2 linked regions of the Arabidopsis thaliana genome follow. The protein of the gene in region 1 interacts with the protein of each later gene in a pairwise test. Each region holds a gene or a part of one and is shown in the gene's direction. Other genes may lie near its edges.

Region 1 (7,591 bases):
AGAAACTAACCTGTGGAACACCAACAAACTCATCAAACTGTCTTTGGTTAACCCCGGGTGCATCTGGGATTTCATTGAGAAGCTTCTCAATATCCTCTAACTGAAGTTTGACAGGATTGCAAAATTTAGTATCATCCACACAAGGACCATTCTCATAACGGACCACGGGATAATCCGGTACAGCGACACTATCTGCATCTTCACTATCACTATCAACCCATTCTTCTTCTTGGAACGGAGCACCATACTGTTCACCATTCTTAGGACCAGCCCCACTCTTCTTATAAAGCTTATAAAGAGCATAATACTCCTGAAGGTAAGACAGATTAGTTAAACTACAAATAAATCAAAAAGAGAAACAGATGAGTTTTGGCTATAATACTAACCTTAGCGTTCTTACATCTCCCTAGCTCTTCTTCATCCATAGTGTACTCATGCATCACCCAGTCAGTTCTCTCACCATTAGGAGCACGACCTCTATAGAAAACAAGAGTCTTCTTGAGTCCAACAGATCTTGAATTGTACTCAATGACTCGATCCTTTCCTGTCGCCTTCCAATAACCAGTTGCAGTACCTCTACTTGACCTAGCTGCGTTAGGATACTTCCTATTCCTTGGAGTGAAAAAGAACCACTGTCTATCTCCCGTCTTCAACATCGATAGACCTGTTACATTCACCGTGTTAGAAAACCAATTCCAACATAAATTTGATACTTGCATAACAAATAAACAAATTGGAAACCTAAACATTGTGAAAATGAAATCATATGAGCATAAATGAGGATCGATACGAATTAAATAGTGAATAAAGACGTTTCCTTGTCATATACTCAACAAATCATCAACAACCAAAACTTTTCCTTGTCATATACTCAACTACATCATTAATAACCTAAACTAATTGATCACGATACGTAGAGAAAACATGAATCAAAATCGATAAGAAGGTGTTGAAAATTACCAGGCAATTCAGAAGGATCGACTTTGTAAACATCAACGACACCAATGGCATTGACTCGAAGTTTTTTACAACAGATCTTCCTCTTAAGATAATAAACCACAAGCTCTTCATCAGTAGGGTGAAATCGAAAACCTGGAGCACTAAACTTACCAGCTTTGAAACACGAATCACGAGAAGAATCAACCATCTCGATCGGGGTCAACGAGAAGTAAACCCTTTGAAACAGAACACACAACCTAAAACCCTCTTTCTCTCTTCGCCTCTTAGTGGAGACAACAAGATCAAACTTACATAACAGTGGAAGAAATTCTAGGGTTTTTTGATCGGCGGTAGATAGATTTTGGATAGAGTCAAAAAAATGATTTTGTTTGTGATTATATGTGTCAGCTTTTTTCTGACTAACGAAGTTTCCGAGAATCTTACTGGGCTTTTGGAATTACACGCCCAAAGGGGCCAAACTGATAAATTTTAATATTCGTTAATTTGTTGTTGTTACAAAGGAACTAAATGTTGAATCCACCACTCACTACTATTTTTCAAACTTACAATAAAATAATCGTATAAAATCAAATAAAATAAATTTTGTAGAGTAAAAACTTGTACAATATAAATTTGTAGCATCAATTCACTTCAATAAATTTTATGTGACTGATTACATTTTGTAAGATAACATAATTTACTATTACATTATTCATAATAACTTAATAATATTTGATATATTAGTTAGTATTTGATAAAGGTATTGAAAGTATATAAATAGTGCTTAGAAGTTATGAAAGTCTTAATATTATTGTAGAAAGTAACATATTTTTCATTATAAGATTTTTTTTTTTTTTTTTACAATTGTTAATATATTTTCCAACCGAAAAAATTAAAAAATCCCATAATAGAGTGCAATTCTTGCAGCTCCCATGAAGAGAGTGAATAATCCAAAGACGGGAAGAGTAAGCTTTGAAGACGAGATAGCTATATAGGACCGAATATCGGCAAACGATCTATTCGATTAATGGAATGAACAACCTATGCATATAGAACTTTATTCTTATTCTAAACAAAAACTAGGAGACAAACAAAAAAGGACAAAAATTACAAGACATCTAAACCTAAATGTGGCAAAAACATATGGATTTATTTAGTTATGAAGACTCACAAATCTATAAGATCAAGGATGAGAAAAAAGAAAAATCGACATGTGAATCAACGTTCTCTATGCAGTTGTAGAAGATGTTTTAATTTTCACCTCTTGTCATGTGGAAAATTCTCGAAAAATCCATGAAGAACTCGTTCAATTCTCCAGAGAGCTTTTGTGAGGGATTCTGATCACTGGTAAACAACATTAGAGAAGGATTCATCCCAAAATGAGGAGTTATTCGACAACTAGTAATAAGCATCCAAGCAAACACGCTAAAAAAAAATTAATCTTAATTACAAACAATGGAAAACAAAAAGAGAAATAAACAACATCGTCGAAATCAAAAGATTCTGGACACTAAGAACTAATTAAAACAATAGAGAAATTATCAGATTAAGCCAAAAAGATAGTAGCATGAACAAAGATAGAATATATATAGTTATAGATATATATTAATTCAATAGAATCAATATTTACGAGGTTTCCACTTTCCATCTAATCGAGTCAAAATTAATAATAACCTATAACCCTAATTACTTTTTGTAAAACTCATTAAACAACTGTTGGGCTTCTTTGACCGTGGAGTTTTAGTAGGTTCTTAATTTCCCAAAATACATTAATTTCTTGCGTGTAATATGGTAGCTTTATTATGTATATCTTTTGGTGACTTAATAAGGTCTTAATTCTCTATAAATACATGCTTATTGTATACATCAACTACACATCAAATTAAAAAATTACTCTGTGATTGGTAGCCGGATCTAGAGAAAAATAGTCTGCCTGGTATTTTAATCCCTAATTTAAATTTTTTCACTCAAATCATATACGATTTTTAAAATAGTTTAATAGTTTGTAGTAATTTCTTCTCATTTGTGATGGAAAGATATAATTTTCTATTACAAAAATTACTTTTTATCTTTTATCCTGTCAATAAGTGTACTCTTAACAAAAAAAAAGATTTTGATGATTTTCTTGCTTTATGATTCACAGAATATCGATCTTTGCAATAAGAGCTCATGGAAAATAATGGAGAAATGAATGCACAGCCTGAATTATCAGGCATAAGTAAAGATTTTTTTTTATATATATTTTGTCTGAACTTATTTTATATATTAAATATGAAACAACCATATATTTTGTTTCGTTTTACTAGTTGATATAACCAAGACTTATATGTATGAGAAATTATGGAACATATGTGCTGGACCTTTGTGTGTTCTTCCGAAACCTGGAGAAAAAGTTTATTACTTTCCTCAAGGGCACATCGAGCTCGTGAGTCTATATATATTTCTTTTGTTTTGCTTCTCGATTTGGTTTTTGAAACATTTTGATGGCACTTTTCAGATTGAGAATTCTACAAGAGATGAATTGGATCATATCAGGCCAATTTTTGATCTTCCATCTAAGCTTCGATGTCGTGTTGTGGCTATTGATCGTAAGGTATGTCTTTAAATGTTCAAGAGTTAACACATAAGTTACAATTTATTATTTTGCATGCTTTATTTCACTGTAGAAAGATCTAATTTTGTTGCTTGCTTTATGTTTATTATAGGTAGACAAAAATACAGATGAAGTCTATGCTCAGATTTCGTTAATGCCTGATACAACAGTGAGTGACCGCAACAATGCTAACTTCAAAATTAATTCTAATGTTTCTCAATTGTTTCAAATTTTCTTCAATTTTCACTTAACTAATTTTTTTAAATTGTAAATCTTTAGGAAGTTATGACCCATAATACTACTATGGATACTCGAAGACCAATAGTTTATTTTTTTAGTAAAATTTTAACGGCGTCTGACGTCAGTTTAAGTGGTGGATTAATTATTCCCAAACAATATGCCATTGAGTGTTTTCCTCCGCTGGTAATTCTGCTTAGTTTATCTATTGAATAAACTCGAATTTGAGTTTCAGTATTACATTTTCTATTCGATTTGTTTCTCTAGGATATGTCCCAACCAATATCCACACAAAATCTTGTTGCAAAGGATCTCTATGGTCAAGAATGGAGTTTCAAACATGTCTTTAGAGGTATTTAATATTTTTCTTCACCCGATAATATTGTAATTAGTAACTATGGATCTTCTTTTTGCATGTAGGTACACCGCAGAGACATATGTTTACTAGCGGCGGCGGCTGGAGCGTATTTGCAACAACAAAAAGATTGATTGTTGGGGATATATTTGTACTCCTTAGGTATGTTTTTGTCTTTTTACATCTCTTCTCTTTTTTTGGATATTAGAATTTAAACTATTTTCTTGTTTTTTCAGAGGAGAGAATGGGGAGTTACGATTTGGTATTAGGCGAGCAAAGCATCAACAAGGCCACATACCTTCATCAGTAATATCAGCAAATTGTATGCAACATGGAGTAATAGCTTCAGTAGTGAATGCTTTTAAAACCAAATGCATGTTCAATGTGGTTTATAAGCCAAGGTGATTCAGAATAGTACTTAATTTACATTTTACAGTCTGCCAATATATCATGATATTAGCTTCTTCAACCAAATGTATGTTTACATTTTGTTTTTTCATATAATATTAGTTCAAGTCAATTTGTTATAAGCTATGACAAATTTGTTGATGCAATGAACAATAATTACATTGTTGGTTCGAGATTTAGGATGCAGTTTGAGGGTAAGGATTTTTCTGAAAAAAGGTAAAAAATTTAATCAAAACTTTTTTTCTCTATTTCCAAAATTTGTTATTTGCATAACACATTTTGTTTTATTTACTAAGATACGATGGGACGATTATTGGTGTAAATGACATGTCTCCTCATTGGAAGGATTCAGAATGGCGAAGCCTAAAAGTAATATAATCTTCATACTTTCATGACATCTTTCAAAATACATTTTTGAGTGTAATAAATAACATATGACTAATCAACTATGTTTTTGTAGGTGCAATGGGACGAGCTTTCACCATTTCTAAGACCTAATCAGGTTTCACCTTGGGACATCGAGCATCTAATTCCTTCGTCAGATATCTCTCAATCAAGTTTGAAAAAGAAAAAACATTGGCTTCAATTGAATGAAATTGGTAAAAGGAAACATGCTTATAATCATTGGTTTGATAAGTTTATGCTTCCTCATGAAAATATCTTTCTCATTCTAGATATTTTCATATATAGGTGCAACATTATCGAATCTTTGGACATGCCAAGAAATTGGACAACGGAGCATGAATTCTCCTATAAGTGTTCCTGAGTTTAGTTATCCCAATGCAATTGAAGATTCAAAGTTTCTTTCTGGTTTGCTACTGAATCACTCACTCCTAGCCATACCTAATGAAAACTATAACAGCGACCAAATGATTCAACCAAGGAAAGAAGATATAACAACTGAAGCAACCACTAGTTGCCTCTTGTTTGGAGTTGATCTGACCAAAGTATCAAAGAGCAAAGATTCCATCTGTCCAATTGAATCATGCAAAAAATCAGAAATTTCAAAACTCAAAAATCAAAAAGCAACCACTAGTTGCCTCAAGATAAAAAGTTTGACCAAACCCAACCTCTGAGATCACCAAAAGAGGTCCAAAGCACGGAATTCAATTTTACTAGAAGTCGTATTAAAGTAAGCATAAAATCATTATATCTGTAACATATGACTTTTTTTTTAAAATGTGAAACTAGTGCATTCAAGCAAGCATTCGCCGAAAAAAATATATTTTAAGAAATTTTGATAAGAAACATACATATTAGGTAACTTAGTATTTTTAGATATCAAATATATATTTGATAAGAAAATTTCGTAAAGCTTTCACATGATTTTGATGTGGTATGTTCTAACAGGTTCATATGCAAGGTGTAGCCATAAGTAGAGCTGTGGATTTAACTGCTATGCATGGATACAATCAGCTGATACAAAAACTGGAAGAACTCTTTGATCTCAAAGACGAGTTACGAACTCGCAATCAATGGGAAATAGTTTTTACAAACAATGAAGGAGCTGAGATGCTTGTCGGGGATGATCCATGGCCGTATGTTTTCTTTCTCTTTCTATATATTGAAACCCATGTTAAAATATTGAGAAAATGTCATTTTGAAAATTGTGTGCATCCAGTGAGTTCTGCAATATGGCGAAAAGAATATTCATATGCTCAAAAGAGGAGATAAAGAAAATGAAGTTGAAGAACAAATTCTTTCAACCTGAATCAAAAGCTTTAACATCTTCAGACGTACCACCAAACGTCACAGATAACTAACCTTTCTTATAAAGATAAGAGAGCTGAAAATTGGAAGAGAGGGTTTTGTTTTAAAATTTCGTAAGCAAAAAAAAAAACAGTTTTTTGTTCCGTGATGTAGTAAAGGGTAAGAGAATGAACCCATGTTTTTATGTTGTTTTTGTCGACAGTGATGTTGTTTGAGTCTGTAATATTTATGTCTTCATCGTTTCTAAATGAAAAATTGTCCTTGTTATCGTCGTATTATCTGCTTATCGTTGCTACTACTAATGATTTGAGTATATACATCTTACTCTAACTATTGTAGTGTACTTAAAAAAAGAGAAATCTTTGAAATACATTTTAAAATTGCCACCCTCTTAATTTTGTAACGTTACCAAAAATCTCTGCAAGAGCAAGAACCATCTTTGAACCTATGAAACCGAACTCGATCCCTAACAATGATCTCTCTCTTATAAATCTTAGAAATATGTTTGAAAACAACGTGACAGTCCCCACAAATTCTCAGGTTGTTTATAACTCTCACCGGACTCTCCTCGTCCGCACCATCCATCATCATCAGTCCGTAGGCCACCGCCAATTTCTCGCTGTGATAGCACAAAGCGTTCTCTTTCTCTTCCTCTCCTATGTCGTGCAACACAAGTCCTGTCTGCGCCACGTAACCATCCTCTCTTATCTTGAACCTATCCTCATCAACCAAAATAACAAGAAAGCAGTAAATCAAAAGCATTAAAATTCACCAATCTCAGCTCTTAGAACTTGTTCTGTACCTGATCTCATCGATCTTCTCATAAATCTCTCTCCACTGTTCATGGCTCTTGTCACTGTTGTAGAATTCATGAATCGTTCCTTTGGCTTCTATGTAGCTAAGACCTGGAATTTTCTTCACTTGTTTGCTTTCCATATCATCTCTCACTCGTCCTACATCTTTCCACCGTCCCTGCGCAGCATAAACATTCGATAGCAACACAAAATCACCATCATTGTTAACTCCCATTTCCTTTATTTCCCTAGAAGCAATCTCAGCCATTTCAACATCACTATAAATCTCCGAAGCTCCAAGAAGGCTCTGCCACAAAACAGGATCCGGAATCATCGACATTGAACATATGATATCGTGAGCTTCTCTCAACCTTCCTGCACGGCTTAACAGATCAACCACACAACCATAGTGCTTCATGTTACGCTCAACGCCCTTACAAGCCATATTATTGAATACAGACAAACCATACTCCACTAACCCCGCATGTCTACACGCAGTTAAAGCAGCTAAGTACGAGACATCATCAGGCTTAATACCATTATCCTCCAACTTGT
Region 2 (6,074 bases), on another chromosome or scaffold:
TGCATAGTGATTGGCCCAAAAATCAAAAGTGTGAATTTGACACAACTCCATGTATATTCATAATACAACTATTTCAAGATATGATGATTGCCCGAGTAAATACCGATACACCTAACCGTAAAGGCACAATAAAATGTGTGGTATAATAGATTATTACTACTAACAAAAAAGTTATAGTATAACTTTATTATTTTAACAGCTCATTTATTTTACATAATTCGTTTTTTGTTTATTCATTTTTTTATGATTATAAGTAACAAAAATATGCACTAAATGAATGTTTAAATTTATTTTAACATAAAATAAATAGTGTTGCTTATATGGATGCTTAGATGGACACCCTAAATGGAGAGAGGACTCTCCTATTATATATATACAGGTTAAACATTATGCAATGAAACCAAAGTTTTTCATTTCAAATCGAACCCAAAGTCTTGCCACAATTCAAATAAAAACTACAATATAGAATATGGATTGATGATTGTTATTTGCTTCCATATTTCAAAACTATATGATCTATCTCTTGTAACTCTTAAACTGTTTGTTTTCTAGTTTGCACTCTAGAATTGGTCTTATATTGTTAGTTTGTTACCGACTTTTTGTAGAATATCAGTTATACTAGTCTCATGTATATTTACAAAATTTTGTAATAAATTCATATAATTTTACTTAGTCAATAACTGGACTTTTTCCTTGTAATTTGATAAGTATTTATTTGGCTGGTAACAAAAACAAAATAATTAGTAATTTACAGTAGATCCCTTTATATAACTATTGTATCTAGAAATAGTTGTACTTCTACGTATTGGGGAGTACCCCGAGTTTTGTGTAACAACTTCCGCTATATATTGTAAAGTAAAAAAATACCAATGAAGTTTGCTTTCCTTATCTGCCTAATTGTTACATCAGGTAAAATTTATATTTCACGTGTGAAGCAAATAACAAAAATCTATATACAAAATTTGTTATTTATAGTTTCTGATTTTGTAGTGATGAGTATCGTTACTGTTCGAAATGTTGAGGCGAAAAGGTTATTACTTGAAGAAATTCCTCAGTTGCATCATGAAGGTTCGCCGCAGGTAGTGAAATTACTGGATGATGACTGCATGGATGGATGTCATATGAAATGTATTCCTAACAACAGAATTACTCCTTGTTTATGTCTATGTTAATTTTCCGTTTTCTTTTTTGAATAAGATATGTTTTCACTAATAATAAAACTTTGTTGCATAGTCCATACAAAAAATATTGAACATTATGTAAAAAAATTCAAAAAAGATAGTTAAGAACAAATTCAACATGGAAGAGGTGATGCCTAATTTTTCATCAAACCAGCCACCATTAGAATAATCACTAGGATGATATAAAAGCATATATATTGCCCACCAACTATAACTTATGAAGCTGTATATGTATGATCATGTGTGTAGCTGTTTTATATCATTTATTGGATCCAACGGTGGATCAATCCAACATAGAGTCCAAAAGAACCGGAACCGGAGAGAATGCCATGAACCGGTTTGTTGTTAGATACGTCTCATTTTCAGTATTTGATTTCTAGCTAAATAAGCTAGTCATGAACTTAAATCTCTAACGCCAACCATGCAATGAAACCAACTTTTCACATTTCAAATCGAACCCAAAGTCTTGTCGTCTACCGTGTAACAATAAATACCAAACTCACTACCTTTAAAATTCTCCTTTTTGAGACCAATTCGGATAAAACCAACAATCTCCTAAATGTTCACTTCCCAAATGTCGTAATCCATAAATCATACTCAAGAAGAAGGATTTAGACTATTAGGAGGTCATGTGCCAAAAATAACATAATACTAATGATAAATTAATCACAAATATTTAAGCACCATTTAGAATCATCAATCACAGTGGATTAGTGTTGGATTTGATTCTATTGAAATCCATGACTGAATAATACCCCTTAATGTGTAACGATTCAAAACTTTTTCTACAGAAAAAAAAAATTTGAAATCGAGACTAAACAAACTTAGGATAAAAAAATAGTCTTGAACATAGGTTTTCAAATTTGGTCCTCCAAAGAGATTAGGTTAGGTTTGGTTTACATTGGTTCACTAAAGCATGACAAGTACATAAACTGCCTTGCTGTAGTAACATGAAAACAAAGTCAGAGAGAAATCAAAACCCAAAACGATAAGACCCCATAGATAATGAACTGTCTAAAGACAAAACCTTTTGGCAAGATTTCTTGTCAGTTTGTTCCTGGATTCATATATATAAAGATCATTAGAAGTTTCATAGAGACAGAGAGACAAATTAAGTTGGGACTTTCATGAAAACTAGTAAAGAAAAACAAATAGTATAATTTTAACTCAAATACTATTTGTTTTTCTTTACTAATACTCTCGAAAGTCCCAACTCAAATACTAGTTGGACACACATGAAGCTACCAATCAGACCCAATGAAACTCAAAATCTTATCCTCCAAACACAGAAAAAAAGACTATGAATATGTTTGACTTTAGACAGCTAGAGTTTCAACTCAATTGACTAGGATGATCTAATCCTGATATCACATGAACCACAAATAGATGAAAGAGTAAGTTCTTGGCTTTAAGAGAGAGAGAGAGAGGTGACAAATGCATATGGCAGACCACAGTACATGTAATGCTTACCCTACAATAACTCAATGCTTGAACAAAAGAGAAAGGTTTTTTATATTCTGCACATGAGTGTACCATACTCTACCCCACTTCCTTGAATTAGGGCTACAGAGAAATGAATCTAGACCGTCCTCTAAAATCAAAGAAAGTATCTTTCTTTGTGTTGAAGATGAAAGTGTCCCACAAATGTCCCCAAAATGATGGGACACACTTTGCCTCAAAGTTGCTGCTACTGTTTACTACCCGACAGCTTTAGCTTTTGCCTTTGTCCTTAAATCAAGTTAATCCCATTTTTTCTAAATTACCAAAAAAGTGACTTTTCAATTCCTATAAAACAATCTTCTTCACAAAGCCTCTTATCTCATCAACAAGTCTTTCTCTCTCTCTAGACAACCACAAGAACACAAAACACACAAAAACAAAGAGGTTCTTTCTTTGAAGAAGAAATGGAAAAAGTTGATGTTTATGATGAGCTTGTTAACCTAAAGGCAACAGAGCTGAGATTGGGATTACCAGGGACAGAAGAAACTGTTTCTTGTGGAAAAAGCAACAAAAGAGTTTTACCTGAAGCTACTGAGAAAGAGATTGAATCCACTGGAAAAACTGAAACCGCTTCTCCTCCAAAGTAAGTGTTTGAATCAAATACAACTTCTCTGAAAATGTGTGTTGAGTTGTGAATCTGATCTAATCTAATCTATGCTATTTCTTGTTTTATAGGGCTCAGATTGTTGGATGGCCACCAGTTAGATCTTACAGAAAGAACAATGTTCAGACAAAGAAGAGTGAATCTGAAGGTCAAGGAAACTATGTGAAAGTAAGTATGGATGGTGCTCCATATCTAAGGAAGATAGATCTAACGATGTATAAACAATATCCAGAGTTGATGAAATCACTTGAAAACATGTTTAAATTCTCTGTGGGAGAATATTTTGAGAGAGAAGGATATAAAGGCTCAGACTTTGTACCTACTTATGAAGACAAAGATGGTGATTGGATGCTTGTTGGTGATGTTCCTTGGGAGTAAGTACAAATTTTCATTTATCTCTCAAATTAGTTAACTTATGACACAATCTTGTTTATGTATTTATGGTGTTTTGTTGTTATTGCAGGATGTTTGTTTCGTCTTGTAAGAGGCTAAGGATCATGAAAGGATCTGAAGTTAAAGGTTTAGGTTGTGGTGGTCTTTAACAAACCTAATTGAGAGATAAAGATCAAAGAGAAAGATTCAAAAACAGAGTTTTTTGTTCTGTTTCTTGAAACAGAGTAAATATAGCTCTGAAACTGCTCGGGTTCTTGGGGAGAGATGTTTCATACAATCATACTTTGTGAATGTTTACCTCATCGGTAAAAAGAGAGATGCTTAAAATGGTCTTAAGCATAAAAGTGTGAGAAAGATCTAAATCTAAACTTTAGCTGTAACTCTGTCTCCATTAAAGAGAAAGGTTTTGTGGTATTAGAAAGATCTAATCTGAAGATTATCTTTGTGTTTTTCACTTTTTATAATGTTCTTATCGAACAACTTTGATGTTTTTGATGTAATTACCCATTTTTCTGTTCTGTTTCTCTTCAAATTAAGATCTGTCTTTACAAAACTGTAACACAGAACATTAAACCTAACTTGTAGATGAACACAACGAAGACAAATCATTAAACCAAAGCTGCTTTATGGTAAAAATAATAATCCCAGCTTCTAAACATATATCATTGGATTCTAGTTTCTTTAAACTTAGATTATACATGTTTAGTCACCAAGATTAAAGAAATAAGAAATCTAATCGAGCAGTGAGAATATTTTTGGGGCTTTGGAAATGTTTATATTATCTTTTGTTGTTACCAACTGTGACTTTGGTCCCCCATACCTTAAACAAGTAAATCTACCCAACTGTGCTAATTTGTCTCCACTATCACTTATAATAATCTATGAACCTTGGAACTAGAGTAATATTTTAAAATGGTATAGATAGGTTCATTGAATTTAGGTTTTTCCTTTGTGCACCAACAATTTTTACATTCATACCTAATGTTCTTGATGCAAGATGATTATTAAGTCAAGAATTTTACCAAATACTTAAACCTAGTTGTCTCGATGATGATGATGATGATTATGATGAGACAACAATCGATCAACAAAAGAAGGATTCAAGATTCTTGATGAGATTGGAAAACTGAATCTATATTTCTAACAAAAGTTTTTGTAATCTTCTTCTGTGGAACATATATATAAATGAGAGATTTAAGAAGAGTATGATCTTTGATCATCAGTTTCTGACTCTAACAAGGTTAGCTCTTGACCTGTTTGGTCGTTGCTACTACCACCAGAGATTGTCATTATTGGTTCAGACTGAGAAGTAAATCCTTCTTCTTCCTGTGGTCTCTTCTCCACTGTTTGATCCGAGATTAACACAATTGAACTGCTTGTAACTACCGGTTTAGGTTGATTAACATCTTCACGATCTGTCTTCTCCGGTAGAACATACGAAAAACCATATTTCTGAGCATGTGTTAGTCCTGGACATAAACCCTACAAAAACCCCAAAACAAAAGAAACTGACTTTGATGAAAGAAAGAAATATTTTTATTTCTGGTACTGGCCTTTATCAAACCGGTAACTGGAAAAGATTCGTGGTAAGGAATCCGAAAGAAAGAAAGAAACATTTTTATTTCTGGTACTGACCTTTATCAAACCGGTAACTGGAAAAGATTCGTGGTAAGGAATCCGAAAGAAAGAAAGAAACATTTTTATTTCTGGTACTGACCTTTATCAAACCGGTAACTGGAAAAGATTCGTGGTAAGGATAATCGTTACTGTGATCATCGTTACTACTGTCTTCTCCAAGGACTTCTTGTTCTAGTTTTGTGGAATTGCTTGGACAGTATCCACCAAAGTAAGAGCAATGTTCCCGAGCTAGAGATATTTGTGGTGTTATTGGTAAGAGATGACCCTCAGTACTGAAGATGTACCTGAAGATTAAGTAAAATTATCAAGATTAGTGAATTGTTGTGGTGTTTGTGAAAATCAAGAGGTTAATGTGGAGGAGATATTTATACTTGTAAGGGCCATTGTCTACGAGGTTATCCGAGTCAACAGCTAAGTCAAAGAGTAGCCATAAGTACTTCACCTGAAATATTTTTGAAACAAAAACAAGTCAAGGCTTTAAGGTAAGCAAGTAAATGCATATTGAGAAACAGAGCTTTTCATGTATTTTACCGTTTCTGCGAGGAAGAAGCTCTCCATGTGATCTTCTTGTTTATGCAGTTCTACATCTGTGATGTGACAATAACCGCAAGGACATTTTGCCCCGTATTGCAAACTAGCCACAAAGTCACGTCCTGCATCAAGATACCTGTCGACGAGTAATTTGCATTGTGCAATTCAGTAGTGTGATCATCTTTGGATGAAGAATTGAAAAAAATATAACTAATTAATTTGGTGAC

The links.
Region 2: the proteins of ARF13 (region 1) and ATAUX2-11 interact in a two-hybrid assay, tested with the Arabidopsis thaliana proteins (one large-scale study listed by BioGRID).

Annotation. Positions count from the first base shown.
Region 1 is NC_003070.9:12,442,282-12,449,872, reverse strand, and holds ARF13 (AUXIN RESPONSE FACTOR 13), read left to right. Parts: upstream 1-3,108; coding exon 3,109-3,151; intron 3,152-3,245; coding exon 3,246-3,364; intron 3,365-3,436; coding exon 3,437-3,532; intron 3,533-3,644; coding exon 3,645-3,701; intron 3,702-3,811; coding exon 3,812-3,955; intron 3,956-4,036; coding exon 4,037-4,121; intron 4,122-4,189; coding exon 4,190-4,286; intron 4,287-4,360; coding exon 4,361-4,525; intron 4,526-4,634; coding exon of another isoform or gene 4,635-4,712; coding exon 4,713-4,748; intron 4,749-4,828; coding exon 4,829-4,901; intron 4,902-4,992; coding exon 4,993-5,131; intron 5,132-5,222; coding exon 5,223-5,479; coding exon of another isoform or gene 5,480-5,608; exon of another isoform or gene 5,609-5,664; intron 5,665-5,882; coding exon 5,883-6,070; intron 6,071-6,153; coding exon 6,154-6,295; downstream 6,296-7,591. Other genes in the region: NAC016 (NAC domain containing protein 16), read right to left, coding at 11-310, 387-664, 925-1,147; AT1G34160 (Tetratricopeptide repeat (TPR)-like superfamily protein), read right to left, coding at 6,648-6,957, 7,045-7,591. UniProt on the Arabidopsis thaliana protein: Auxin response factors (ARFs) are transcriptional factors that bind specifically to the DNA sequence 5'-TGTCTC-3' found in the auxin-responsive promoter elements (AuxREs). Could act as transcriptional activator or repressor.
Region 2 is NC_003076.8:17,547,380-17,553,453, forward strand, and holds ATAUX2-11 (AUX/IAA transcriptional regulator family protein), read left to right. Parts: upstream 1-2,799; 5' UTR 2,800-3,085; coding exon 3,086-3,264; intron 3,265-3,356; coding exon 3,357-3,659; intron 3,660-3,748; coding exon 3,749-3,827; 3' UTR 3,828-4,336; downstream 4,337-6,074. Other genes in the region: AT5G43695 (uncharacterized protein), read left to right, coding at 870-909, 991-1,172; AT5G43710 (Glycosyl hydrolase family 47 protein), read right to left, coding at 4,873-5,160, 5,396-5,600, 5,688-5,758, 5,848-5,983. UniProt on the Arabidopsis thaliana protein: Aux/IAA proteins are short-lived transcriptional factors that function as repressors of early auxin response genes at low auxin concentrations.